Mus musculus: one gene and its partners. The protein of the gene in region 5 binds, or shares a complex with, the protein of the main gene of each other region. Links are inferred from orthologs where the notes say so. Each region holds a gene or a part of one and is shown on either strand. Other genes may lie near its edges. The genes, in order: Senp2, Ranbp2, Pias2, Sae1, Sumo1 and Daxx.

The links.
Region 1: the proteins of Sumo1 (region 5) and Senp2 are in contact, whole or in part, in a crystal structure (PDB 1TGZ), measured with the Homo sapiens proteins. The link is inferred for Mus musculus from reciprocal best matches to the Homo sapiens genes SUMO1 and SENP2. Residues at the interface, in NP_001005781.1 of Homo sapiens: Asn60, Arg63, Leu65, Glu67, Gly68, Gln69, Arg70, Ala72, His75, Glu89, Tyr91, Gln92, Glu93, Gln94, Thr95, Gly96, Gly97; in NP_067640.2 of Homo sapiens: Asp386, Lys394, Leu395, Arg396, Trp410, Leu411, Asn412, Asp413, Glu414, Thr440, Phe441, Pro444, Lys445, Arg456, Trp457, His474, Val477, His478, Trp479, Met497, Gln542, Gly545, Ser546, Asp547, Cys548, Gly549.
Region 2: the proteins of Sumo1 (region 5) and Ranbp2 are in contact, whole or in part, in a crystal structure (PDB 1Z5S), measured with the Homo sapiens proteins. The link is inferred for Mus musculus from reciprocal best matches to the Homo sapiens genes SUMO1 and RANBP2. Residues at the interface, in NP_001005781.1 of Homo sapiens: Asp30, Ser31, Ser32, Glu33, Ile34, His35, Phe36, Lys37, Val38, Lys39, Thr41, Thr42, His43, Lys46, Leu47, Ser50, Arg54; in NP_006258.3 of Homo sapiens: Asp2631, Val2632, Leu2633, Ile2634, Val2635, Tyr2636, Glu2637, Leu2638, Pro2654, Thr2656, Cys2659.
Region 3: the proteins of Sumo1 (region 5) and Pias2 are in contact, whole or in part, in an NMR structure (PDB 2ASQ), measured with the Homo sapiens proteins. The link is inferred for Mus musculus from reciprocal best matches to the Homo sapiens genes SUMO1 and PIAS2. Residues at the interface, in NP_001005781.1 of Homo sapiens: Tyr21, Lys23, Val26, Glu33, Ile34, His35, Phe36, Lys37, Val38, Lys39, Thr42, Lys46, Leu47, Ser50, Tyr51, Gln53, Arg54; in NP_004662.2 of Homo sapiens: Lys466, Val467, Asp468, Val469, Ile470, Asp471, Leu472, Thr473, Ile474, Glu475, Asp479.
Region 4: the proteins of Sumo1 (region 5) and Sae1 are in contact, whole or in part, in a crystal structure (PDB 3KYD), measured with the Homo sapiens proteins. The link is inferred for Mus musculus from reciprocal best matches to the Homo sapiens genes SUMO1 and SAE1. Residues at the interface, in NP_001005781.1 of Homo sapiens: Asp30, Ser31, Ser32, Glu33, Ile34, His35; in NP_005491.1 of Homo sapiens: Thr179, Lys180, Val181, Ala182, Lys183.
Region 6: the proteins of Sumo1 (region 5) and Daxx are in contact, whole or in part, in an NMR structure (PDB 2KQS), measured with the Homo sapiens proteins. The link is inferred for Mus musculus from reciprocal best matches to the Homo sapiens genes SUMO1 and DAXX. Residues at the interface, in NP_001005781.1 of Homo sapiens: Lys17, Glu18, Tyr21, Ser32, Ile34, Phe36, Lys37, Val38, Lys39, Thr41, Thr42, His43, Lys46, Leu47, Ser50, Tyr51, Arg54, Gln55; in NP_001135441.1 of Homo sapiens: Glu731, Glu732, Ile733, Ile734, Val735, Leu736, Asp738, Ser739, Asp740.

What each region holds. Positions count from the first base shown.
Region 1 is NC_000082.6:22,008,025-22,012,283, forward strand, and holds the start of Senp2 (sentrin-specific protease 2), read left to right. Parts: upstream 1-1,459; 5' UTR 1,460-1,617; coding exon 1,618-1,718; intron 1,719-1,740; exon of another isoform or gene 1,741-1,866; coding exon of another isoform or gene 1,867-1,940; intron 1,941-3,469; coding exon 3,470-3,528; exon of another isoform or gene 3,529-3,576; coding exon of another isoform or gene 3,577-3,595; intron 3,596-4,259. UniProt on the Homo sapiens protein: Protease that catalyzes two essential functions in the SUMO pathway.
Region 2 is NC_000076.6:58,474,352-58,477,851, forward strand, and holds part of Ranbp2 (E3 SUMO-protein ligase RanBP2), read left to right. Parts: intron 1-892; coding exon 893-987; intron 988-1,805; coding exon 1,806-3,500. UniProt on the Homo sapiens protein: E3 SUMO-protein ligase which facilitates SUMO1 and SUMO2 conjugation by UBE2I. Involved in transport factor (Ran-GTP, karyopherin)-mediated protein import via the F-G repeat-containing domain which acts as a docking site for substrates.
Region 3 is NC_000084.6:77,063,731-77,068,007, forward strand, and holds the start of Pias2 (E3 SUMO-protein ligase PIAS2), read left to right. Parts: upstream 1-1,477; 5' UTR 1,478-1,665; coding exon 1,666-1,689; intron 1,690-1,742; exon of another isoform or gene 1,743-2,174; coding exon of another isoform or gene 2,175-2,177; intron 2,178-4,277. UniProt on the Homo sapiens protein: Functions as an E3-type small ubiquitin-like modifier (SUMO) ligase, stabilizing the interaction between UBE2I and the substrate, and as a SUMO-tethering factor.
Region 4 is NC_000073.6:16,377,897-16,381,396, reverse strand, and holds part of Sae1 (SUMO-activating enzyme subunit 1), read left to right. Parts: intron 1-2,920; coding exon 2,921-3,032; intron 3,033-3,500. UniProt on the Homo sapiens protein: The heterodimer acts as an E1 ligase for SUMO1, SUMO2, SUMO3, and probably SUMO4. It mediates ATP-dependent activation of SUMO proteins followed by formation of a thioester bond between a SUMO protein and a conserved active site cysteine residue on UBA2/SAE2.
Region 5 is NC_000067.6:59,639,835-59,643,334, reverse strand, and holds part of Sumo1 (small ubiquitin-related modifier 1), read left to right. Parts: intron 1-845; coding exon 846-917; intron 918-3,066; coding exon 3,067-3,135; 3' UTR 3,136-3,500. UniProt on the Homo sapiens protein: Ubiquitin-like protein that can be covalently attached to proteins as a monomer or a lysine-linked polymer.
Region 6 is NC_000083.6:33,908,029-33,912,244, forward strand, and holds the start of Daxx (death domain-associated protein 6), read left to right. Parts: upstream 1-1,416; 5' UTR 1,417-1,570; exon of another isoform or gene 1,571-1,826; intron 1,827-2,402; 5' UTR 2,403-2,418; coding exon 2,419-2,643; intron 2,644-3,209; coding exon 3,210-4,041; intron 4,042-4,129; coding exon 4,130-4,216. UniProt on the Homo sapiens protein: Transcription corepressor known to repress transcriptional potential of several sumoylated transcription factors. Down-regulates basal and activated transcription.

The DNA of each region.
Region 1 (4,259 bases), on a different chromosome or scaffold from region 5:
CGTAGACCAGGCTGGCCTCTAATTCACAGAGATCCACCTATCTCTACCTCCCAAGTGCCGGCATTAAAGGCATGTGCCACTATGCCCAGCAGTGACTGTTTTTGTTTTTGTTTTTTGGGTTTTTGTTTTTTGAGACAGGGTTTCTCTGTGTAGCCCTGACTGTCCTGGAACTCAGTCTGTAGACCAGGCTGGCCCTTGAACTCAGAAATCTGCCTGCCTCTGCCTCCCAAGTGCTGGGATTAAAGTCATGTGCCACCACCGCCCGGCTTTGAGACTGTTTTTAATACTTCAAGGGACTGCACTCCCAGACATTATGCTTAAGTCCATAGGAGATATTATTTAGACATTTATTTCTAATGGTTTTCCTTTAATCCCAGCACTCGGGAGGCAGAGGCAGGCAGATTTCTGAGTTCGAGGCCAGCCTGGTCTACAAAGTGAGTTCCAGGACAGTCAGGGCTATACAGAGAAACTCTGTCTCAAAAAACAACAACAACAACAACAACAAAACAACAAAAAGGAAGAAAGAAAGAAGAGAAGAGAAGAGAAGAGAAGAGAAGAGAAGAGAAGAGAAGAGAAGAAAAGAAAAGTGTATACATTCCCAGAGAGGATAATGAGAATTGATTGCTACCTGACAGCTGAGGGGAAGAGACAAGCTGATTAGAAAAGGCCACAGGAATCATTCAGTCCCTGTTTCTCGGAAGCTTTTCCTAAGAAGTCGTGTCCGTCTGCCCTACTCACTCCCCAGCATCTGGTTTAACTTTCTCTAGTTCCATTGCGCATTACAATCATTTATCACATAAGCAGGTGACCTTGTATTCTAATTTATAAGTATCTATGAAAATGTCTCTCCCAGTAAACTTGCACGTATGCGTGCGGAATGAGCCCTAATAGTTAGACTGGCTCAAATGCTAGTGGTTAGCTCCATTTTCTTAGGCACATGGTTTAATTGCTATATACCTTTGGTTTTTATGACATTCCTAAAATTCCCCACTGTGTCCGGTTGCTGTAAACATGACGGCAATCCGGGTAAAGTATTAGACCAATGTATATACAAAATAAAGCGCAAACCCTTACATACTCATTAACTAACCTGACCTATTTTCCACCCTGCGCATTCTTTTACAGAACCCTCCACTGTCGGGTTGCTTGGGTAGCTCTCCCGGCCCAGCATCGATACACGTGGTTTGGGTCTGTGGGCCTTGTCCCGAGATCGACTCCTGACTGGCTCTGCCAAAGAGAAAGCCCCGCCCTTCGGTCTGCCAGTCAGACCCGCGCAAGAGCCCGCTCTCCCCGTCCCGCTTCCTGTTGCTAGGCTTACAAGGAGCAGGCCCAGACTGCGCATGCTCAGACTCCGGAGGCCGCTTTCCCGTTGGGCGGAAGAAGGTGACGTCAACGGCTTCTAGAGAGTCCTCCCCTAGCCCGGGGAACGTTAAATCTGTGGGCCCTCTGATGGCGTCACAAGTCCGCGCCTGATCCTGGCTACGGCTGAAGCGGCGAAGGCGGCAGCGGCAGCGGCAGCGGCAGCGGCGACGGCGGCGGCGGCGGCGGCGGCGGCGGCGACAGCTCTGGGGTTCGCGTCTCGGGGTGTGTCGGCCGCCGCTGCTGCTCAGGCCTGGAATGTACAGATGGCTGGCTAAGGTTCTCGGCACCATTCTTCGCTTGTGTGAGCGGCCCGCGCCCGGGGCCCGCGCCCTACTCAAGAGGCGGCGCTCCAGCAGGTAAGGTGGCCGCGCGCCGGTCGGGTCCCCTCCCCCGCGCTGGCGTTGGGCGCCGCGGGCCTGTGGGAACCGGCGACTACGGGACCGCGGAGGCCTGGGGAGAGTCCGTCCCTCTAGCTGCGAGCGGAAGGGGAACGGGAGGCCGGCGATGTGCTGCTCGCCGGATACGGCTCCTGTCGCCCGGTGTCGTCGCGGGCGGACAGCGCAGGAGCGAGTCACTAGGTTAGGAGTTTGCCCGTAGTCGTTTGACTGCGAGTGCTGTTGTCTTCGCACCGAGGAACAGCAGTTGTCTTGTTCGACAGCAACTGTCGGGGTGTGTGTGTTGGGCTGCAGGGGAAGGGAATGGTCCTGTTCTTTAACATCCTTGTAAGAGGCAGAAAGTATTTACGTACCGCACTCTTGTAAGATTCGGTTAAAATTAGAAGGAAATGACAAATATTAGTACTTAGCATCTACTCCTTTATTTACTTTACAGTGTCTTCCCTTTTAAGGGTTTATCTAGAAAACAAAATATTCTACAACTTCTATACTCCCCCCTGTCTCCCACTCTTACATTCTCCCTCCCTTTCCTTCCTCTGCTATGTCTACTTCACTTATTATTATGATGATGGTGATTATTTTTGTTTCCAGGTCAAGAGAAGTGGACAAAAGATTGGATTAGGGGAAGTAGATCAAAATGATTCATAGATGACTCCAGGAATGTAGGTCATTGGTGAAACTGGTTGTTCGCTAAACTGTAGCATGTAGTCCCATGGCTTCTACAGTTCCATGGGGTTCAGATAAGAATCGGTTAAGATGTTATAAAGTTCTCAAACTGATGCTTATGTAAGAATAGTTTATTCTCCCCCAACTGGATCTGGTGCACAATGAAACTGCATATTTATCGAACAGGGACTGGTGATCGCCTCACATTTTCATTCATAGTCCCTCGGAGTCAGCAGTATGCCGACCCAAACCTGAGTGTGGATGTGTCCTGGCCAGCCTTGACTTCTAGCTGCTTTCTGTTCTTTACTACATTCGGGGGCTCGTGGGTTATTTTGTTTTGTTTTGTTCTTTTGTTTTTTGAGACAGGGTTTCTCTGTGCAGCCCTGGCTGTCCTGGAACTCACTCTGTAGACCAGGCTGGCCTCGAACTCAGAAATCGGCCTGCCTCTGCCTCCCGAGTGCTGGGATTAAAGGTGTGTGCCACCATGCCCGGCTCGGGGGCTGGTGTCTTAAAAGATACTTTTTTCTAGGAACTAGAGCTGTGCCTTAGGGGCGGTGTGCTTGTCTGTCGTGCCTGTCCTGTCTTCAATCCCCAGCCCAGGGTATAGGGGTCGGGAGACATTTAAGCAACACCATTGCCAACTCCCAACTACTACCTTATCTCTTAAGGCTGCTTATATTGTTGCTTGAAATTAAAAAAAAAAAAAAAGTCTGTCTTTAGGGCCAGTGTCCCAAAACCAAATGATGTGTTGGTTTAATTTGGCCAGATTATACATCATAATGTAGTAGGGAGTGTTGAGTCTTTCCTACGGTCTAGAAATAGGACTCTGCTTTGCACCTTGCATCTCATTTTACGACTACATGGGGCACAAGAGAAGGAAGGTTGTGTGGTACGGAGCTTTTGTTTTGGTGTTAGGTAAAGAGACCACGGTCTTTTATATGCTAAACACATGCCCTACAACTGAGTCACACCTCCAGAGCTGAGTAAGTTTATTTATAGAAATGCACGTATGGCCTATATACATCCATCTTCTCCTTTCTTTGCAGCACTCTGTTTTCTACTGCAGTGGACACTGATGAGATCCCAGCCAAAAGGCCAAGATTAGGTACTACATCTTTGAAAATTAATTTGTTTTAGTAGGAAAAATACATGCATGGAACAAAACTCAAAAGGTAAAAAGTCCAGACAATGAGAAGTTTCCTCTTTCCTGCCCTTTCTCTATGCCATTGTCTTTCCTAGAGGTGACTATTTTCAGATATGTGTGTTGAATGTGTGTTTATAGTTCTAAGGTCTTCTGTAGTAAAGGTAATTTTTTTTTTCCCCTGAGGAGGAAGCCAGTTCAAACTGATTGATCTGATTCATCTGGCTGAGTGAACCCATATGCTTTGTCATCACAAATCTACTTTCTTGTATGTGACTGGTAGACAAGAATAAAAGTAGATTAAAGAGCAAGGAATAGTAGAATACTATAGTATGTCCCTTATTTCAACAGCAGTCATGGATTTGGGTCTATACCAGATGTGATGGTTAACTATGGAAACTTGTTGATATTTCATTTAAATCCAATAAATACTTATTGACTATGTCTTGATTTTACACAATTACAGAAAATAAAAAATACTAGGCCTTTCTACAAGTATCTTTTAATTATCTAAGGAAAAAACAAGCTATTTTTAAAAAATAAATATGAATAAATAATGGTTTGTATGTGAATGTAGTAAGATACATAAAACGACATGACAAAACCAGCTGGTGATACCCAGGGCCTGGCTAACAGCCTGTGGCTTAACTACTGAGGATTTTGATGCAGGTGAGTTACAAGTTCAAAGCCTGTTT
Region 2 (3,500 bases), on a different chromosome or scaffold from region 5:
GTGTGTGTGTGTGTGTGTGTGTATATATATATATACACATACATACATACATACATACATACATACATACATACATACACGTGGCTGTGGAATGTATGTATGTATGTGTGTGTGTGTATATATATATATATGTATATGTGTGTATATATATATATCTCCACAGCATATGCAGAGATCAGAAGACAACCTACCTTTACATGTGTTCTAGAAATGAAAGGCATATTGCTATGTTTATGTGGTAACCATCTTTACCTGCTGAGCCATGTAGTTGGCTTTATGCTTATTGTGAGACCCTTTTTATAATTGTACCAGGTTATTTTAAGCATAAATCTGAGTAATTATTTGAGATCATATTCTGCAACCCTGTCATTCTCTAGAGTTTCAAGTCCTCTTTTAAATGTTTAGGCCATCAGGTGCATTTTGGTTACTAAATTCTTTGTGATAACTTTTTTCCTAACGTGGAGCCGTTCTGTGCTTTTACATTCTGCTGATCTTGGACCATTTACTTTCTTTGTTTTCTTTTTAGAGCTCTCTCACTATGTAGCGTTCGTTAGCTGAAACTTACAGAAATCTACCTGTCCCTTTGAGTGTGGGAGATCAAATGGCATGTGCCATTATGCCTTACTCTGGCATGCTTGTTAAGTACTTGTTCCTGTTGACAATAGTAGTGTTATTTTTTATTCTTTGTGTCATTTAACTGGTTTTTTTTTTTTTAGTTCTTCATTTATTAATTGCTTTATGGTATACTTGAGTATGTAGAAATGTAAAGATCAGAATAATTAAAACTTCCTTTGATTCTTATTGTATATTTATAATTCTTGTCTAGGTAGTATTTTAAACTATAGAATAGACTTTTAACATTGTTTTCTTGTTTTTGTTTCTTTCACTTTAGTTGCAACTACTGGCCCATCAGTATATTATAGTCAGTCACCTGCATATAACTCCCAGTATCTTCTCAGACCAGCTGCTAATGTAACTCCCACCAAGGTAACAAAGGAAAAGCACACAATTAGAACTGTTTACGTTTTAAATGTTTAGGCTTCTTTTAAAGAAATTGAAACAAGTAGTTCAGTATTGGAAGATATGTGACCTTTGATATAGGCATTTCATAGTCATCTTTTTTTGTGTGTTAACAATAAGTCGAAACATTTGGAATATTTTAAATAGGAGGATTGGATGGTTTTGGCCCTTGTGTTATTATTCTATTTTGATAGGAGTAAGGCTATTTTTGTTTTGCTAGGCTGATTTATTGTCATCCTTTTGACTCAAACTGGATATTATGACAGTAACTAAAAACTATGACTTCCAGGATGGAGATCTGGGTGCGTTGGTACATTTAGATCCCGGTTCTGCTTATTGTGAACTTGGGCAATGTTTTTTAACCTGTGTACCTCTTAGGCCACCTGGTTTTAAATGAGAATAATACTATAGTTAATAGAGTTTTTGAGGCTAAAAACCTTTAACTTCTAAAGTAAGTTAAAATGGTTAGAACTGTGCCTAGTTGATACATTAATAAATGCTTAATGAATGTTAGTAATAATCATCACTGTTAACATCATTTAGTAATTGTTTAGTGAATGAAGAATTATTTTTTTCTAGTCATTGTCAGTACAGATTTTTAAGGTGCTGTCTTATCAAATATATATTCAGGTGTCTTTGTGGCACCATTGGTATCTGTTAATGTGCTGTGTACATTGGTGTTTTCTGCTGAATGATACTCTAATTTGAGGTTTGTGAGAGTTGATTTGTTTGTAGATTTTTATAGTTTTATGAATAATCAAGAAAGTATTTTTTTTCCCTTTTAGGGTCCAGTTTATGGCATGAATAGGCTTCCACCCCAACAACATATTTATGCATATTCACAACAGATGCACACACCACCAGTGCAAAGTTCATCTGCTTGTATGTTCTCTCAGGAGATGTATGGTCCTCCCTTGCGTTTTGAGTCTCCTGCAACAGGAATTCTATCACCTAGGGGTGATGATTATTTTAATTACAATGTTCAACAGACAAGCACAAATCCACCTTTGCCAGAACCAGGGTATTTCACAAAGCCTCCACTTGTAGCTCACGCTTCAAGGTCAGCAGAATCAAAGGTTATAGAATTTGGAAAATCCAATTTCGTTCAGCCCATGCAGGGTGAAGTAATAAGGCCACCCTTGACAACACCAGCACATACAACACAGCCAACTCCCTTTAAATTTAACTCAAATTTCAAATCAAATGATGGCGACTTCACATTTTCATCACCACAGGTAGTGGCCCAGCCTCCTTCAACAGCTTATAGCAATAGTGAAAGTCTTCTAGGTCTTCTGACTTCAGATAAGCCTTTACAAGGAGATGGCTATAGTGGACTAAAGCCAATATCTGGCCAAGCTAGTGGGTCTCGGAATACATTCAGTTTTGGAAGCAAAAATACACTTACAGAAAACATGGGCCCAAATCAGCAGAAGAATTTTGGTTTTCATCGCAGTGATGACATGTTTGCTTTTCACGGTCCAGGGAAGTCTGTATTTACAACAGCTGCTTCCGAGCTGGCAAATAAAAGTCATGAGACAGATGGAGGAAGTGCTCATGGGGATGAGGAGGATGATGGCCCTCACTTTGAGCCTGTGGTACCTCTTCCTGACAAGATAGAAGTAAAAACTGGCGAGGAAGATGAAGAAGAATTCTTTTGCAATCGTGCAAAGTTGTTCCGTTTTGATGGTGAATCCAAAGAATGGAAGGAACGTGGGATAGGCAATGTAAAAATACTAAGGCATAAAACATCTGGTAAAATTCGCCTTCTGATGAGACGAGAGCAAGTATTAAAGATCTGTGCAAATCATTACATAAGCCCAGATATGAAACTGACGCCAAATGCTGGCTCAGATAGATCTTTTGTATGGCATGCCCTTGATTATGCAGATGAATTGCCAAAACCAGAACAGCTTGCAATTAGATTCAAAACTCCTGAGGAAGCAGCACTATTTAAGTGTAAATTTGAAGAGGCCCAGAACATTTTAAAAGCCTTAGGAACAAACACATCTACAGCACCAAATCATACTCTTAGAATTGTAAAGGAGTCTGCAACTCAGGATAACAAGGATATTTGCAAAGCTGATGGTGGAAACTTGAATTTTGAATTCCAGATTGTAAAGAAGGAAGGGCCTTACTGGAATTGTAACAGCTGCTCCTTTAAGAATGCTGCAACTGCTAAGAAATGTGTATCATGCCAGAATACAAACCCAACCAGTAACAAAGAGCTCCTAGGTCCTCCATTAGTTGAAAATGGCTTTGCTCCTAAAACTGGCCTGGAAAATGCTCAAGATCGATTTGCAACAATGACTGCAAATAAAGAAGGCCATTGGGACTGCAGTGTTTGTTTAGTAAGAAATGAACCCACCGTCTCTAGGTGCATTGCATGTCAGAACACAAAGTCTGCGTCTTCGTTTGTTCAAACTTCTTTCAAATTTGGTCAGGGAGATCTTCCTAAGTCTGTTGACAGTGATTTCAGATCT
Region 3 (4,277 bases), on a different chromosome or scaffold from region 5:
TAGTTGTCTTGGTCAAAGTGTCTCTTCACAGCAATACAACCACTGTGATTAAGAAAGAGTATTTTTTTTTTAAACCTTGAGTCAGCTGTCCACATTCTACTCATTAAAGTTCAATTATTTATATGTATACCGTACTTCAGTTAGCTCTTGGGCAAGAGTTTAAGGAGAGGCAGTCTAGAGCTTAGTTTTGTTTTTGTTGTTTGTTTTTCTATGTTGGGAATGGAGGCCAGGAACTAACAGAGTCTAGCCCAGAGCTTACCACTGGACTATGGCCTAACCTTATCAAGGCATTTGAATTAGTATGTTTGAAGAAAGATCCTTGTATGCTAAGGAGAACTGACGGAGGTATAGAATAGGAATTCTTTGCTCACAGATCAACACTTTAAAACTCATACAAGTGCAATGTTCTCAGAATGACTGTAACTGGAAAGAAGCCTTAGGTAGTAACAATATTAAACGGATTCCGTCAGTCTTATCAATGAAATCTGAACTGTGTGTGACCAGCCAGTTTGACTCTGCATTATGTCTGTCATTATGTGTTTTTTTTCATTCTCACACTTTATTCTAGGCTGGCTTCCACCCGGCTGCATAACAATCGCTCATCCTCCTGCTTCAACATCCCAAGTCCAAGTATCTGTTTTATTTCTCCTTTTTTCATTCTTCCATCGAATCTGGGAATATCGGCAATCTTTCTTCTATCTCTCGTCTCTTCATTTTATTTTTCTTCAGCTATCAGGATTTCCTGACTTTTTTCATCAGAGTTTTCTGGGGTGCTCTCTTTTACTTCACTTTTCTCCTCACCGTACCCACAATTCTTTCAACGTTGCTGTCCAGGCCGTTGACATCCCCTTCAAGGTCAGGAAAAATATCAGCCAAGGTGAAAAATTAAGACACAAATTAAAAGGTCTTAGCCAACTGGGTGTGGTGGCACACACCTTTACTCTCAGCACTTGAGAGACTCAAGGAGCAGGTGAATCTCAAGTTCGAAACTGCTCCACGAAAGAGTTCCAAGCAAGCCTGGGTTACACAGTGATGCCCTCCCTGTCTCAACAACAGAAACACAAAACAATTCTTATCCGCGATCACCATTAACTTGGAACAACGGTTTCCACATCACCCTTACTTGGCTTATCCTATCACAGCCACTCTGGGGATGGCACTGAGAGAATCTTCTCGAGTGTTTCCGTGAGTCCTGTCCACTCTCTTCTCTCGGTCACTTCCTCAGCCGAGGCGGTCCTCCAAGTCCCGGGAGAAGGCCACAGTTCCGGTACGAGCCTCGGGAGCTGCCCGCTCTGCCGGTGCGGGGAACAGGGTGAGGGGAGGAGACAGGAAGCGGCGAGCAGGACCGCGCTCGGTAGGGACAGGCCACCAACCGGAAGCGCGTGGGTCGGGGGCGCGCTCGGGCGGAAGACCGCGCGCGTTGGGTTGGGGGCGCCGCGAGGGGCGGGGCCAGCGCGCGCCGGGGGGCGGGACTCCCGCGCAGGTCACGTGAGGGGCCCGGTGGAGGTGGTGGAGGTGTCGGCGCGGCGGCGGCGGCGGCGGCGGCGGCGGCCGCGGCGTCTAGAGCGGCGCCCAGTGCAGGATGTTGCAGGAGACGGCGGCGGTGTCGTTGGCGGCAGCGGGTGGAGGAGCGGCGACGGCTGAGGCGCCTGCGGGCGGGAGAAAATGGCGGATTTCGAGGAGTTGAGGGTGAGCGTCGCGGGGGCGGGGGGTGGGGGGGGCTGAGCGGAGGCCGCAGGGCGGGGGGAGGGGAGGCGGGAGCAGCGCGGCGCCGCCGCTGTCGCCGTCGCGGTCGTCGCCGGGGCGTGCGGCCGGCTGGCGGAGCCGTACGGTCCGGCGCCGCGCGGGCGAGGGCAGGCGGATGGCCCTGGCACCCGGCGGGCCGCACACCTGGCGGGGCGGGTGGCTCGATTCGGCTGGGCACGGGACAGCCAACGGCGGTCGCCTTTGCGGTGGCGACCCCGGGGCACGCCGTGACCGCCCGCCTTCGGAGCCGTGAAGGAGTTGCGTTTAGGGAGCTCCCTGTCCCCCGCTGGGGTCTAGGCAGGTCTGTCACGAGATGAGGCCCCTTCCTCCCACCCCGTGCTGTCTCCCTCGGCGTGGGGAGAAGCGCGCTCTTTTGGGAACGCCGCCTTCCGTAGTCGGCCTCCTACCCAGAGACTTGGTTTGTAACCATGGTAAGAAAGCTTCTGAGTCCGTGTTGTCATGTGTGTGTAGTCGGTGCTCTTGAGGAACAACTGTTTGCTAGCATGAGAACAAGGTCATAACTTTATCGTTGGTGCCTTTGTAGTCGGGCTCTAACGGAGAGGCTGGTGGAGGTTATAAGAAAAAAGGATTTATTTTTTTCCTCCATTAGATAATCTTCACAGAAACCTTATCCCAAACTAAGCCAGGTATGGTGAGCTGCATTGAAGGCCGAGTTACTGACGACATATGTGGGATGTTTACAGATAGAAACCCTGACTCGTGCGTGTGTGTGTGTGTGTGTGTGTGTGTGTGTCTGTCTGTCTGTCTGTCTGTCTGTCTGTCTGTTTTAAAGTGGAGACAGAAGTATATATAGATTTGAAGTTAAATGAACTTGCAGCCAGTTGGGGTACCTTAGGCACGTTTGGTGTTTGGGTTACTTTAATCTGGTTCTGCTTTGTGAGACTGTTATTGTTTGTGGGAAAAGGATGTTGGCAGGCCGGACAGCCAACAAAAGAGTGAATGTGAAAGCTCGCATAGGGCCTACCATTTTCTCTCCTGTTTCAGGAAAGATTGATTTTATGGTTACATGTTGTATCCCTTATCAGTTTATACAGGTAGCATAACTGACAAGGGCAATTGAACCGTATCCATCCTAAGTGTTTAGTGGAGCTCCTGAGATAGCCTGAGCCTCACTCACTACAGTAAATTTTTACCTGCAGTATTACCTTAACTTTTGCACATTAAACAGATGTATATTTCCTCTCAAAAGGAGATGTAGCTTTTTTTGGTTGGTGAAAACCTCCTAGGTGTATTAGACTTTTAGAAATGTCACTGGTTTAAGGGAAGAATTGACCTTAATCATAAAGGGTGGAAGAAAGGACATCAGTACTCAAATTGAAGTGGAACCAGGCAGGACCTTAGAAGCAGTCCCTTTCAGATGTCTCTGTTTTGTTTTGTGGCAAGCTTCATTTTCTCATCTCTAAATCAACTTGGTTTGGCCTCTCCTTGTGCTTGGTAAAAGATAGTATTGTTGGTTTCCCCAGTCATATAGTAAGTGACCAGCAGAGACTTAACCCGAGTTTCCAGAGGAAAGGTAGGAAGGCGGAGTTCAGCAGAATTAAACTCTGTTTTGCTTAGGGCAGACCCATGTTAGCTTGTATTTTAAAAACTTTATCTCAGTCCACAGTGCAGAAAGTGATGGTGGTACATACTCATTTTAATATCACCGAATACATGCCAGACTCGCTTCACATACTTGACATATACATTGTATTCTCCTAATTCTATGAAGACAACAAACACACATAAACTTTCACCTATATTATCCTTTGAGAGGAGAAATGCTAAAATTTTAAACACTAGTTATCTGATTTTAGAATCTTGAGTTCATGTTTGATTTCATTGTTCAGGTGTCCTCGGAACTAGGTGGGATTCCTAATTTTTCTATTTATGGGATAAATTAAATGATAAATACCATCCTTTTGTATCATAAAAGTGGAAGAAAAACAGAGCCCCTCTAAAAAACCCAACCCCCCAAAAAAACAAACAAGCAAGCAAACCAAACCGAAACAACAAAACCCAAAAACTATAATCTGAAAGAAAGAGAAGGGGAAGAAATATCCAGGACACTCAGAATGATGGTTTCTGGCACAGACTATATTCAGATGATCATAGTGATAGTTAATTACATTATAAAATAAAAAAAATTTTATGGACATTAGCTTTCTGGTTATCTTGGCAGTGGAAGAAATGGTAGACTGATTGGGGTACTGTAGTTTAAGCTGTTGAGGATCAGTGTAGCATTAGTCAGCATGTGGCTGGTACTGTCCATTTTGGATGAAGATCATCCCCTCATTTTAGTAATCATGTTCTTTCACTTTTTAGGCTTGGTGTGGTGGGGGTGGGGGGAGGGAGATGTCATTTTATAAGTGTGGTTTGAATAGGTATGACCCATAGATTCAAGTGTTTGAATGCTTGGCCTATAGGGAATGGCACTGTTAGAATGTGTGGCCTTGTTGGAACAGGTGTGACTTTGTTGGAAGAAGTGTGTCATTGTTGGGGTGGGCTTTGAGGTCTCCAATGCTCAGGCT
Region 4 (3,500 bases), on a different chromosome or scaffold from region 5:
ACGGTGACTATTAACCTCCTCAGGCTCTGAAGAAATGGCTTTGGGGTGCGGGACTTGGAATGGGCCAGAGAGGAAGTGTGTTTACAGGCTGTGGAATGTTGTGATTGTCAAGTCTTGGTGAGTAGTAGTCTGATAATAGGTGGTCAGGCTAGTAAGGTAGTACAGACAAGTCCTGAACAACTCAGGATGAGCTGTAGATTTTATCAGCTGGGAATGTAGCGCAGGGGCTTGCCTTTCTTGCATACATGAAGCCCTGGGTTTGATCCTAGTATCAAATACATTAGGCAAGAAGGTACATACTGGAGGTAGAGGCAGGAGGGTCAAAGTTCAAGGCTATTCTCTGCTACATAGTTTTAGGGCCACCTTTGTATGTATGAGACCAAGTCTCAAACAATTCTTTTTGGGAGTAGGTGCTGAAAAAATCCAGATTCAAGTGTATGAATAGCTAGGCTTTTTATAATGAAGGTGGTAGAGTTTAAGAGAAGTTGACTAAGTCTATCTTAACACCCATGTCCAGTTTCTTACATGCCAGGTATTACTTCAGAGTATAGACAATGCTTTTGTTTGTGGTCCTGACAGGCTTGGAACTCAGTTCAAAGATGAAGGTGGCTTCAATTTTGCAGTAATCCTCCTGCATTTATCTGCCTTGTTTGTTTGGTTTTTGGTTTTTTGAAACAGGGTTTCTCTGTATAGCCCTGGCTATCCTGGAACTCACTCTGTAGACCAGGCTGGCCTCGAACTCAGAAATCCACCTGCCTCTGCCTCCCCAGTGCTGGGATTAAAGGCATGTGCCATCACTTCCTGGCGTTTTTTTGTTTTGTTTTGTTTGTTTGTTTGTTTTGGTTGTTCAAGACAGGGTTTCTCTAGTAGTCCTAGCTGTCCTGGAACTTACTCTGTAGTTCAGGTTGGCCTCCAGAGATCCGTCACCTGCCTCTGCCTCTTTAGTGCTGGGATTAAAGATGTGTACTATTGCTACCACCTTGCTTAAATATTACCTTTTAAATTATTTCTTTTGAGAGTATTAATTTCTACTACATAGCCATAAAGTTGGCTTTCATATGAACTAGTGTGGTGTGTGTAATCATGCCCTGCTGAGGTTTCTTTTTTTCCCTCCCTCCTTTAGAAAGGGTCTCATCGCCCAGGCTGACCTCAAGCAGAGTGACCTTGAGCTTCTGATCCATTGCTTGGCCTTATAGGACGCCACCATGTCCAGGTGGCCTCAAATTTCCCATCCTTCTTCCTTAGAATTTTAGATATGCACCCCAGACCCTGACGGCCATTGGGCTTACTACAGACTAAGTAAGCACTCACTGATCGTTGGAGAAGAGCCCCTGGTGTTCTCTGGGTGCTTTGTTTGATTTTTGTCTTATTTTTATTTATAGAGATCAACACAATTCCCCTGCCTGTTTTTGTTGTGCTGGGGTTGGTCTCAAGCTTACTAAGTCGTGGAGCAGACTCTGAACCTACCTACCCTTTATCCTGTCCTCACCTCTCCAGTGCTGCGGTCACAAGTGTGCACACCACCTCTCGCACACACCTTCTTATGCTTCCATGGGTTTTGCTTGTGTGCTCCAGATTAAATCATGGCTCTTCTTGCCAAGCTGGGGTTCTACTTAAAGCACTTGCCTGCTGTGGCTGGAGCCCCTGAGTTCAGTCCCCAATACCATAATAAATACACTTGTCCTCTTTGGTTATTATACTAGTCTGAGTGGCTGTGCACACATAACCACTCCAGACTTCTCTTACCTGTGGCGTCATCTTCTCATCCCATGGCTTCTAGTGCCCCCCAGAGCCCTCGTGCTGTGCTCCCCCCACCCCATTTTCATACTTCACATTTGTCCTTTCTATACCACTTCGCGGCCTCTTTGTTTTTGCTGTCTCTGAAAACAGTCAAGCCAGGCATTCTCCTTTCCCTTTTCTTTCTTCTTTCTTTCTTTCTTTCTTTCTTTCTTTCTTTCTTTCTTTCTTTTTTTGGGGGGGGGGGGGCTTCGAGACAGGGTTTCTCTGTGTAGCCCTGGCTGTCCTGGAACTCACTCTGTAGACCAGGCTGACCTTGAACTCAGAAATCCGCCTGCCTCTGCCTCCCAAGTGCTGGGCTTTTTTCTTTTTCTTTTTTTCTGAAACATGTTTTTTTGTGTAACAACCCAGGGTGTCCTGGAACTTGCTTTGTAGACCAGGCTGTCCTCTAACTCACAGAGATCGGTCTGCCTCTGCCTCCCAAGTGCTGGGACTAAAGGTGTGTTCCACCCCACCTAGCTTCAAGTATCCCCTTTTGAGCTTGTGTGTTTTCTATAGTTGGAATACTTTCTTTTCAGTTATCTGTATGTTGATCGGTTGTTTATTTTATTTTGATGAAAAATCACCTTCTCTGGGTTTCTTGTTGTGGAGACAAGGTTTTTGTAATCCAGTCTGGATGTGAACTTCCTGAGATCTCTCTCGCCTCAGCTTCCCAGCCATTCAGGTGACAGATACACTCCTTCAGAACGGTTTTCATCATTATGTAACACTTGTTCTTTAAAATTGCATCTTCCCTTGTCCTCTTTTTATTCGTTTATTTTGTGGTTCTGGAGAGCCATGCAGGACCTCATCCATGCACGGCAAGTGTCCTACTGACGGAGCTCTGTCCCCTGCCCCGTCCCCTGACAGAGCTCTGTCCCCCTGCCCCATCATCTGGCCTTATGCTTGAAGAGCTGCTTTCTCCACTGCGCTGCTCATTGTGGAGAGGGCATACACAACGTGCTCAGTAAAGAAGTCATTTTCTGTGCACAGTTGTTTGGGGCCAATTTTCTAGATCTGAAGGTTCAGTGGTGTTTCTGTGGTGCATATAGTGAAAATTAAGTTTTCTTTTTTTTTCCTGTCCTGTGATTGAACAAGTCCCACTACTTGGGGTCATCAGATTAACATAGCATGTGCTTCACAGGCTTCGAGCTTCCCGGGTGCTGATTGTTGGCATGAAAGGACTTGGAGCTGAAATTGCCAAGAATCTTATCCTGGCAGGAGTCAAAGGGCTCACCATGCTGGACCACGAACAGGTATGTGCCATCTGATTGCCCTGTATCTCTCAAAAGGCCGTGCTGCCAGTGCTGCTGGGCAAATCCAGGTTCAGTGCCACTGTAGGGAAACTGAGGCCTGGGAGGAGGTTTACGTGAATATATAGTCTTCAACCCCTGAGCCGCTGATTCAGGCCTGGAATGATTCGGGAATGGGAACATATAGAACATGGCTCAGTTCAGTGTGATGGCACATACCTATAATCCCAACACTCAGGAGATTGAGGCAGAACTATAAATTCAAGAGTAGCTTTTGCTATATAATGAAGGTCCTAAAAAAAGTCACAGTGGGACTGGAGAGATGGCTCATCAGTTAAGTGTACTGACTGCTCTTCCAGAGTTCACATCTCTACATACTCACATGGCAGCTTACCACTGTCCATAACTCTAAGATCTGACATTCTCACATAGACATACATGCAGGCAAAACACCAGTACACACAAAATAAA
Region 5 (3,500 bases):
CAGGTACAGTGTTTAAACCCCACAGATAAAAGTTTTAGTTTTATTGTTGTTGTTGTTTTAATTAGATTTTACTCATGGTGTTTTACCTGCCTGTATGTCTGTGCATTATGTCCATAATGCCCTCAGATGCTGGAAGTAGGCATTGGATTTCCCTCAGGACTGGGATTAAGATAGCTGCCATGTGAGTGCTGGGAATTGAACCTGAGTCCTCTGAAAGAACAGCCAATCCTCTTAACCACTGAGCTATTTCTTTAGCCCTTAAATAGATCATTCTTGATTCATACTTCCTTGTAAAGTTACTTTCTTTTAAAGAATCATCTCCCCTTTAGCTGTCATATTAAAATGGTTAACAAATATAAACATCTTTGGTAGCATTTAGACTTAACCTGGTATGTGTGTGTGCATACACACATATTACTGTGCCTTAACTAGCTATCTCTTTTGCATTACCAAATTCTTTGAATTTAATGTTTAAAACCAGTTTTGCTTGTATAGTTAGAAGCTAGAAAGCATATTCAGGTCCTTATTTTCTTTTATGCTAGCTCAGACATAAGGAGAAAATGAACACAGAGGTGGTTGAGAAAATAGGCTTATCAATTATTTTGAGCTGAAATTCTTAGCTTATCTTCAGGCCTCACGTTCCCTAGTTGTAAAATGAAGATGTGGAGATAACCAACCTTCAGTATCTCTGCAAAGAACATCATGACTGTCTATAAAGTAGCACTTGGAACATGAGATTTCCTAAAGCCTTTCATGTTTCCTGCTGTTTCTTTTTCTTTTATGGTTTTATCATAGTTACTAATAACCTAAGATTTTTATACAAACTTTCTTTTTCCTTTTTTTAGGGAGTTCCAATGAATTCACTCAGGTTTCTCTTTGAAGGTCAGAGAATTGCTGATAATCATACTCCGAAAGAAGTAAGTATGAAAAAGTTTGAGGGCTGGAGAGATGGTTCAGCAGTTAAGAGCACTGACTGCTCTTCTGGAGGTTCAATTCCCAGCAACCACATGGTGGCTTATAACCATATATAATGGAGTCTGATGCACTCTCCTGGGTGTGTGTCTGAAGACAGCTACAGTGTACTCATATAAATAAAAATAAAGAAAAAGAAAAAGTTTGAAATAAGATTTTGGATAAAACTGGTCGGGTTTATAGCTCAGGGGTAAAGCGTGTGCTTAGTATGTATATCTCCAGAGTTTGATCTCTAGCACCAGAAAAGAGGTTAAAAAACAAAACAAAACAGTTTTTAGAATTTATATTTAAATAATTTATTAATGTGTATGAGCATCTGAATGCACACATGGGGTCCATAAGGGTCATGATGCCACCACAGTTACTCTTTCCATTTGAATTAACCAATGACCTGGAAAGAGTTCTTGAAAATGGGTGGCTGTCTAGGTGGTAGTGGTGGTACTCACTTTTAATCCCAGTACTCTGGAGGCAAAGGTAGGCTAATGTCTTGAGTTGGAGGCCATCCTAGTGTACAGAATGAGTTCCACGACAGCCAGGGTTACCCAGAATATGTGTGGCTATCCTTCAGATATTGGCCATTTTGAGTCCCTTCAACTTGGTACCTGACTTGTTCTTGACTTTTCTTCACATTTTAAAAAGATTTTATTTTGAAATATTTTTTAGCTTCCAGAGAAGTTACAAGTACAGAATTTAAAAAAAAAAAGAAAATGTTCTTTACCTAATTTCTTTGTTTAATCTCTGTGTTGGTGTGCCTGTGTTCCTCTTGCTTCTTCCCAGACCATTTAGGATTAAGCATTAATGACTTCATGTTTTATGTTTTAATGTCCCCCTTTCTCCCCTTCCCTTTGTTTAAACTGGAACTATTAAACAACAGCAGATAACTAGATACATCTTCTGTGTTAGAAGGTCACTATTAAAACACAAATTAGGAAGCTGGACACATGCCTTTAATTCCAGCATTCCAGAGGCAGGTAAATCTCTCTGTAAATTTGAGGCTACAGAATGAGTTCTAAAAAAGCAAGGGTTACATAGAGAACCCCCCTCTCTTTTTTGGGGGGTGGGTGGGTTGGTTTTTGTTTTTTCGAGACAGGGTTTCTCTGGATAGCCCCAGCTATCCTGGAACTCACTCTGTAGACCAGGCTGGCCTGGAACTCAAGAAATCCACCTGCCTCTGCCTCCCAAGTGCCAGGATTAAAGGCGTGCGCCACCACTGCCGGGCCCGAGAAACCCTTCTCAAGATAAAAAATAACAAACCACAAATTAGATGCCAGAGGGAATTATAGATGACAAAATAAACCACTTAGGAATGGATCCTCAGGGCAGCATTTATCCAACTAAAATCCTTGTTTTTAATTTTTATTTCTATTAAATGAGAGTATTAGTTACATCTAAAAATGTGTTTTAGAAAATATGCCATTGAACTATTAAACTTAAATCTCCCTTTTCCCTCTTTCCCTCCCTTTCCTCCCCTATTTCCCCCTCTTTTACTCCCCTTTTCCTTTTCCCTCTCCTCATTTCCCCTTCTCTTTTCTTTCTCCCCCTCCTTCCCCTTCCCCTCTCTTCCCTCCCATTCTTCCCTTCCCTCTCCTCTCCCTACCCCTCCTTCCTCCCCCATTTCCTTCCCCTCTAGTCTGTGCTAGATCAATCTCTTGACCTTGTACATGCTGTGCAAATCCTATTTTTTGTTTGCTTGGATTTGTTTGTTGTTGTTTCTCTTAAGTTTTTTTGAGACGGGGGTCTCACTATGTATCCTGGGCTGTTCTGAAACTCACAATGTAAACAGGGTGCCTCAAACTCACAGAAATCTATCTGCCTGCCTTTGGCTTTTGAGCACTGGGATTAAGCCACACACCACCAGTCTTTCTCCAGTTTTTTGAGACAATCTCATTTAGCCAAGGCTGGTTTGGAACTAACTGAAGATGGCCTTGAATTCCTTATTCTCTTACTTAACTGCCTAGGTGTTAGCATTACAGAGCAACACTTTTCAACTTTAGAGGCTTATTAATTATAGATGACATGTTTCTTCTTGTACCTTAAAATAGTGGCCACTAATTGCAGCCAATATAAAAATAATGCATTTTTCTTTTCTTCCAGCTGGGAATGGAGGAAGAAGATGTGATTGAAGTTTATCAGGAACAAACGGGGGGTCACTCGACGGTTTAGATAATTCTTTTTATTTTTTATTTTTCCTTTCCCTCAATCCTTTTTTATTTTTAAAAATAGTTCTTTTGTAATGTGGTGTTCAAAATGAAAATTGAATACTGGCACTCCATCTCTTAGAACATATGAATTCTAGTGTTCAATATTCATTATTGGTTGTTTTTGTTGTGCTGATTTTTGGTGATCAGACCTCAGCTCCCTTAATACTGCCCTTTTTCCTTTAAGAGATTTCATGTGTGCACAGAGAGGCCACCCTTTTCAGGACTGTGCATTTTCAGGTTTGTGATGATAAAAAGATCGACCAATGGGAGCTTTCCTATGACCTTTCAATTGGCTCTGAAGTTCCAGCATGTGGTTGCTTCACTCCT
Region 6 (4,216 bases), on a different chromosome or scaffold from region 5:
CGTATGTTCACCACACACAAGCCTATTGGATTTCCTGGAACTGGGATTACAGTTGGTTGTGAGCAACAAGTGCTCTTAAAGGCTTTCACAGGCACTTGCACTCATGTTGTGTAGAGACTTACACTGGCACACGCGTAAAAGGGAATATAAATAATTGTGAAAAGATGGGGGAACCTTTATTTCAGGGAAACCCATTTTGAGAAACCCAAGGATAAGAAAATTAAATCATCTCTTAAGAGTCCGGTCAGCCATTGGAGAGCTACCCCACCCCACCCCACCCCGCTCCTATTGAAATGCTGTAAGCCCAGAAGGCCGGACACAATGAGAGGAGGTGGGTTTAAAATTGAAGTTCGGGTCCTCTGAGAGCAGCTGGGCTTCTTTCTTGGTCCTGCAAATTGGCAAGATGCCCACCACCGTGGAAGGAAGGCTGCAGAGCCGAAGTCTCCGCGCAGAGTGTTGACGTTCAGGCTTCCTCATCAACACCTGCGGACCTTGCCTCCCCACCCTGGGCCGGGCGGGCATCACAGTGGTTTCCCCCTCTTCCTTTTCTCCGCGGCTCTGCGGGAGAAGAAGACACCCCGCGGGATTTCATGAGCCTCTTTTCCTAGAGCTCCCAGCGGCAGCTTGCACGGCTTCTCCCCAAGCCCGCGCCAGGTTATCCCGCGCTCCGCCTCCCGCCCTGCAAACCCAGGCAGTGAAGCACTGCCTTCTGTACCGGTCAAGACGACTCCGGGACAAACAGGGGGCCCACGGTTCGCACCAGGGGGCTCGGTCATAACGACAGTGGTGCAGTCTGAGATGCGTGTCGCCGACGACAATAAAAACAATAGCTCACTCCAGCATCATGCTGTGCTCATTTGTATGCGTGTGTTCGTGTGTGTGTGCACCTGGCCCAGGAGGCCCGGCTGGACAGCCTCGAGGTGCACGCCTCCTCTCGAAGGAAGGGAAGGGCCAGCGTAGGCAGCCAGGCGGTGGAACTCCAGGGGCCGGAGGGAGAGCAGAGAAGGCGGTGCAAGGCTTACACCAACCCAGGGCAGGAAAAGCATATCTTTTATTTCGTTCCCTGGAGCCCTGCACAGCCATAGAGACATCAGCTCCTTAGCTACCTGCAGGAGATTCCTTACCCTCCTAGGGTGGAGGGACCGGTCTTACCCGATGCGACTCCACGCGATGGCTTGGGGTTGTGGGGCAGGTCTGAGGCTGGAGTTTCTGATTGGCCGAGCGGCTTCGGCAAGCTCCTGGTGCAAAGAGCTCCACGCCTCGCCGCGGAGCAGGCCGGTGCCGTACGGCAACATGGCGCGCCCCATCTACCTGGTCCTCCGCCCCGCCCCGTCGAGCCTCCGCGTCCCCGGAGCGGTGGCCTCGGTGGGCGAGCCGAGCGTCACTTCCGGCTCTAAGCGGCCTGGGTCCCGTACAGCAATATGGCCGCCCTCAGGTGCTCCAGGCGGAAGCGCTAAGGCTTCCGGTCTGTTGTGGGGTCTGCGGTGGGGGTTGGGGAGAGGAAGGCGGAGGGAACTATGCGAGGATTTGTGATCCGCGCTCAGGGGATCCTCGAGAGACCGTTTCTGAGGTGGGGGCCAGGTCGTGCGCGGAGCGGGGGTGGCGGCGCAGGAGTGGCGAAGGCGACGGCTCGGCAGGGCCTGCCCGACGAGGCTCAGGGCCGAGCTGGTAGGGTACCTTGCTAGCCCTGAAGGCGAGTGTGGCGGCCTAGGGCTGAACGCCGAGAGAGGGCTCCTTGGCGGGAAGCTGAGGCCCAGACAGGAGGAATGGCGAGTGGTGGGCTCGCTGTCGGGTACCGTCGCTGAGAGTTGGCTGGGAAAACCAGGGTGCGGTGAGAGGGAGGGGACTGGAGGTGAAAAATCTCCAGCCTACAGCCCCGGTTGGAGGAAGGGGGAACACGGAGATGACTGTAGGAGCGGAGAGGACACCAGGCTCTGGGGAGGGAGTCGAAGAGTTGGAGTTAAGGAGAAGTCCGAGAGGACTGTGTTGTTTGAGGGCGAGAGCTGGGCAAACCCACTACGTGGTGTGGACAGGGTGTTGGTTCCTGTAGACAGAAAAACTCGGAGAGCAGCGTGGGACCTTGTCCTCCATTGGATTGGGAGGAAAGAGAAAACGTAGCAGCTGACAGAGTGTGGGAAAACGCAACCGAAAGACAGGAAACGCACTGGGGTGGGAGTGGCTGGAGTTGAGGGTGAGGATTTAAGGTGATCCGGAGGCTTTCCCCCAGAGCTGCTCGAAACTGAGAGTTGCAGAAGACAGGCGTTGAAGACTTGGGAAGGCTTGGGAAGGACTAAGCTATTCTGAAACCCCGACGGGGTGGGACTAAGCAGGAGGGGCTCTTTCGAGGCTCCCTTGTCCTGCCCCTTCCAGAATTCTGACCTTTCCAATACTTTCTCCCTCAGGGGAATTTGAACCCCCATGGCCACCGATGACAGCATCATTGTACTTGATGATGACGATGAAGATGAAGCTGCTGCTCAACCAGGGCCCTCCAACCTACCCCCCAATCCTGCCTCAACAGGACCTGGTCCTGGCCTGTCTCAACAGGCCACTGGTCTCTCCGAGCCCCGTGTGGATGGAGGGAGCAGTAACTCCGGTAGTAGGAAGTGCTACAAGTTGGATAATGAGAAGCTCTTTGAAGAGGTAAGCTTTTGAGATAAAAGGGTCGCCCTTTGTGGCCCATGCTGGCCTTGAACTCACAGAGCTTTTACTTGCCTCAGCCTCCTGACAGCTAGGATTAAAAATGTGAACCACTGGGCAGGAGAGATGGTTCAGCGGTTAAGAGCATTGAGCATCCAGAAGTCCTGAGTTCAATTACCACCAACCACATGATGGCGTGGCTCACAGCCGTCTGTAATAGGATCTGATGCCCTCTTCTGGTGTATCTGAAGACAGCTACAGTGTACTCATATATAGAATAAATGTTAAAAAAAAAAGCTGGGCAGTGGTGGAGCACACCTTTATTCCCAGCACTTGGGAGGCAGAGGCAGGCAGATTTCTGAGTTCGAGGACAGCCTGGTCTACAGAGTGAGTTCCAGGACAGCCAGAGCTACACAGAGAAACCCTGTCTTGAAAAACAAAAGATGTGATCCACTATGGTGTGATAGGGCCGATGCCAGGTAAAGGGGTGTGTGATTGGCTGGTTGTTCTGGCTTCCTCACCGATTCCATCTTTTTTTCCCCCCTTTTCCCTTCCCTTGAACCATGTAGTTCCTTGAACTGTGTAAGACGGAGACATCAGACCACCCTGAGGTGGTTCCGTTCCTCCACAAACTGCAGCAGCGTGCCCAGTCTGTGTTTCTGGCCTCTGCAGAGTTCTGCAACATCCTCTCCAGGGTTCTGGCTCGGTCTCGGAAGCGGCCCGCTAAGATCTATGTGTACATTAACGAGCTCTGCACTGTTCTTAAAGCTCACTCCATCAAGAAGAAGTTGAACTTAGCTCCTGCAGCCTCAACGACCAGTGAGGCGTCGGGCCCTAACCCTCCCACAGAGCCCCCCTCTGACCTTACAAACACTGAAAACACTGCCTCTGAGGCCTCAAGGACTCGCGGTTCCCGGAGGCAGATCCAGCGCCTGGAGCAGCTGCTGGCACTGTACGTAGCCGAGATTCGGCGGCTGCAGGAGAAGGAGTTGGACCTGTCAGAGCTGGATGACCCAGACTCCTCGTATTTGCAGGAGGCCCGCTTGAAGAGGAAGTTGATCCGCCTCTTCGGGCGGTTGTGTGAGTTGAAGGACTGCTCTTCTCTGACGGGGCGGGTCATAGAGCAGCGAATTCCGTACCGAGGCACCCGGTACCCAGAGGTCAACAGGCGCATTGAACGGCTCATTAACAAGCCGGGGCTGGACACCTTCCCCGATTATGGAGATGTGCTGAGAGCCGTGGAGAAGGCGGCGACCCGGCACAGCCTGGGCCTTCCCAGACAGCAGCTTCAGCTCCTGGCTCAGGATGCCTTCCGGGACGTGGGCGTCAGGTTACAGGAGCGGCGCCACCTGGATCTCATCTACAACTTTGGCTGTCACCTCACAGATGACTATAGGCCAGGTAGGACGCTCCCTTCAGGTTGGATGGAGGCATCTCTAGTCCCTTGTAGGATTGGGACTGGGTTTGCTGACCCTGTTTTCCCACACAGGCGTTGACCCCGCACTGTCTGATCCCACATTGGCTCGCCGCCTTCGGGAAAATCGAACCTTGGCCATGAACCGGCTGGATGAGGTCA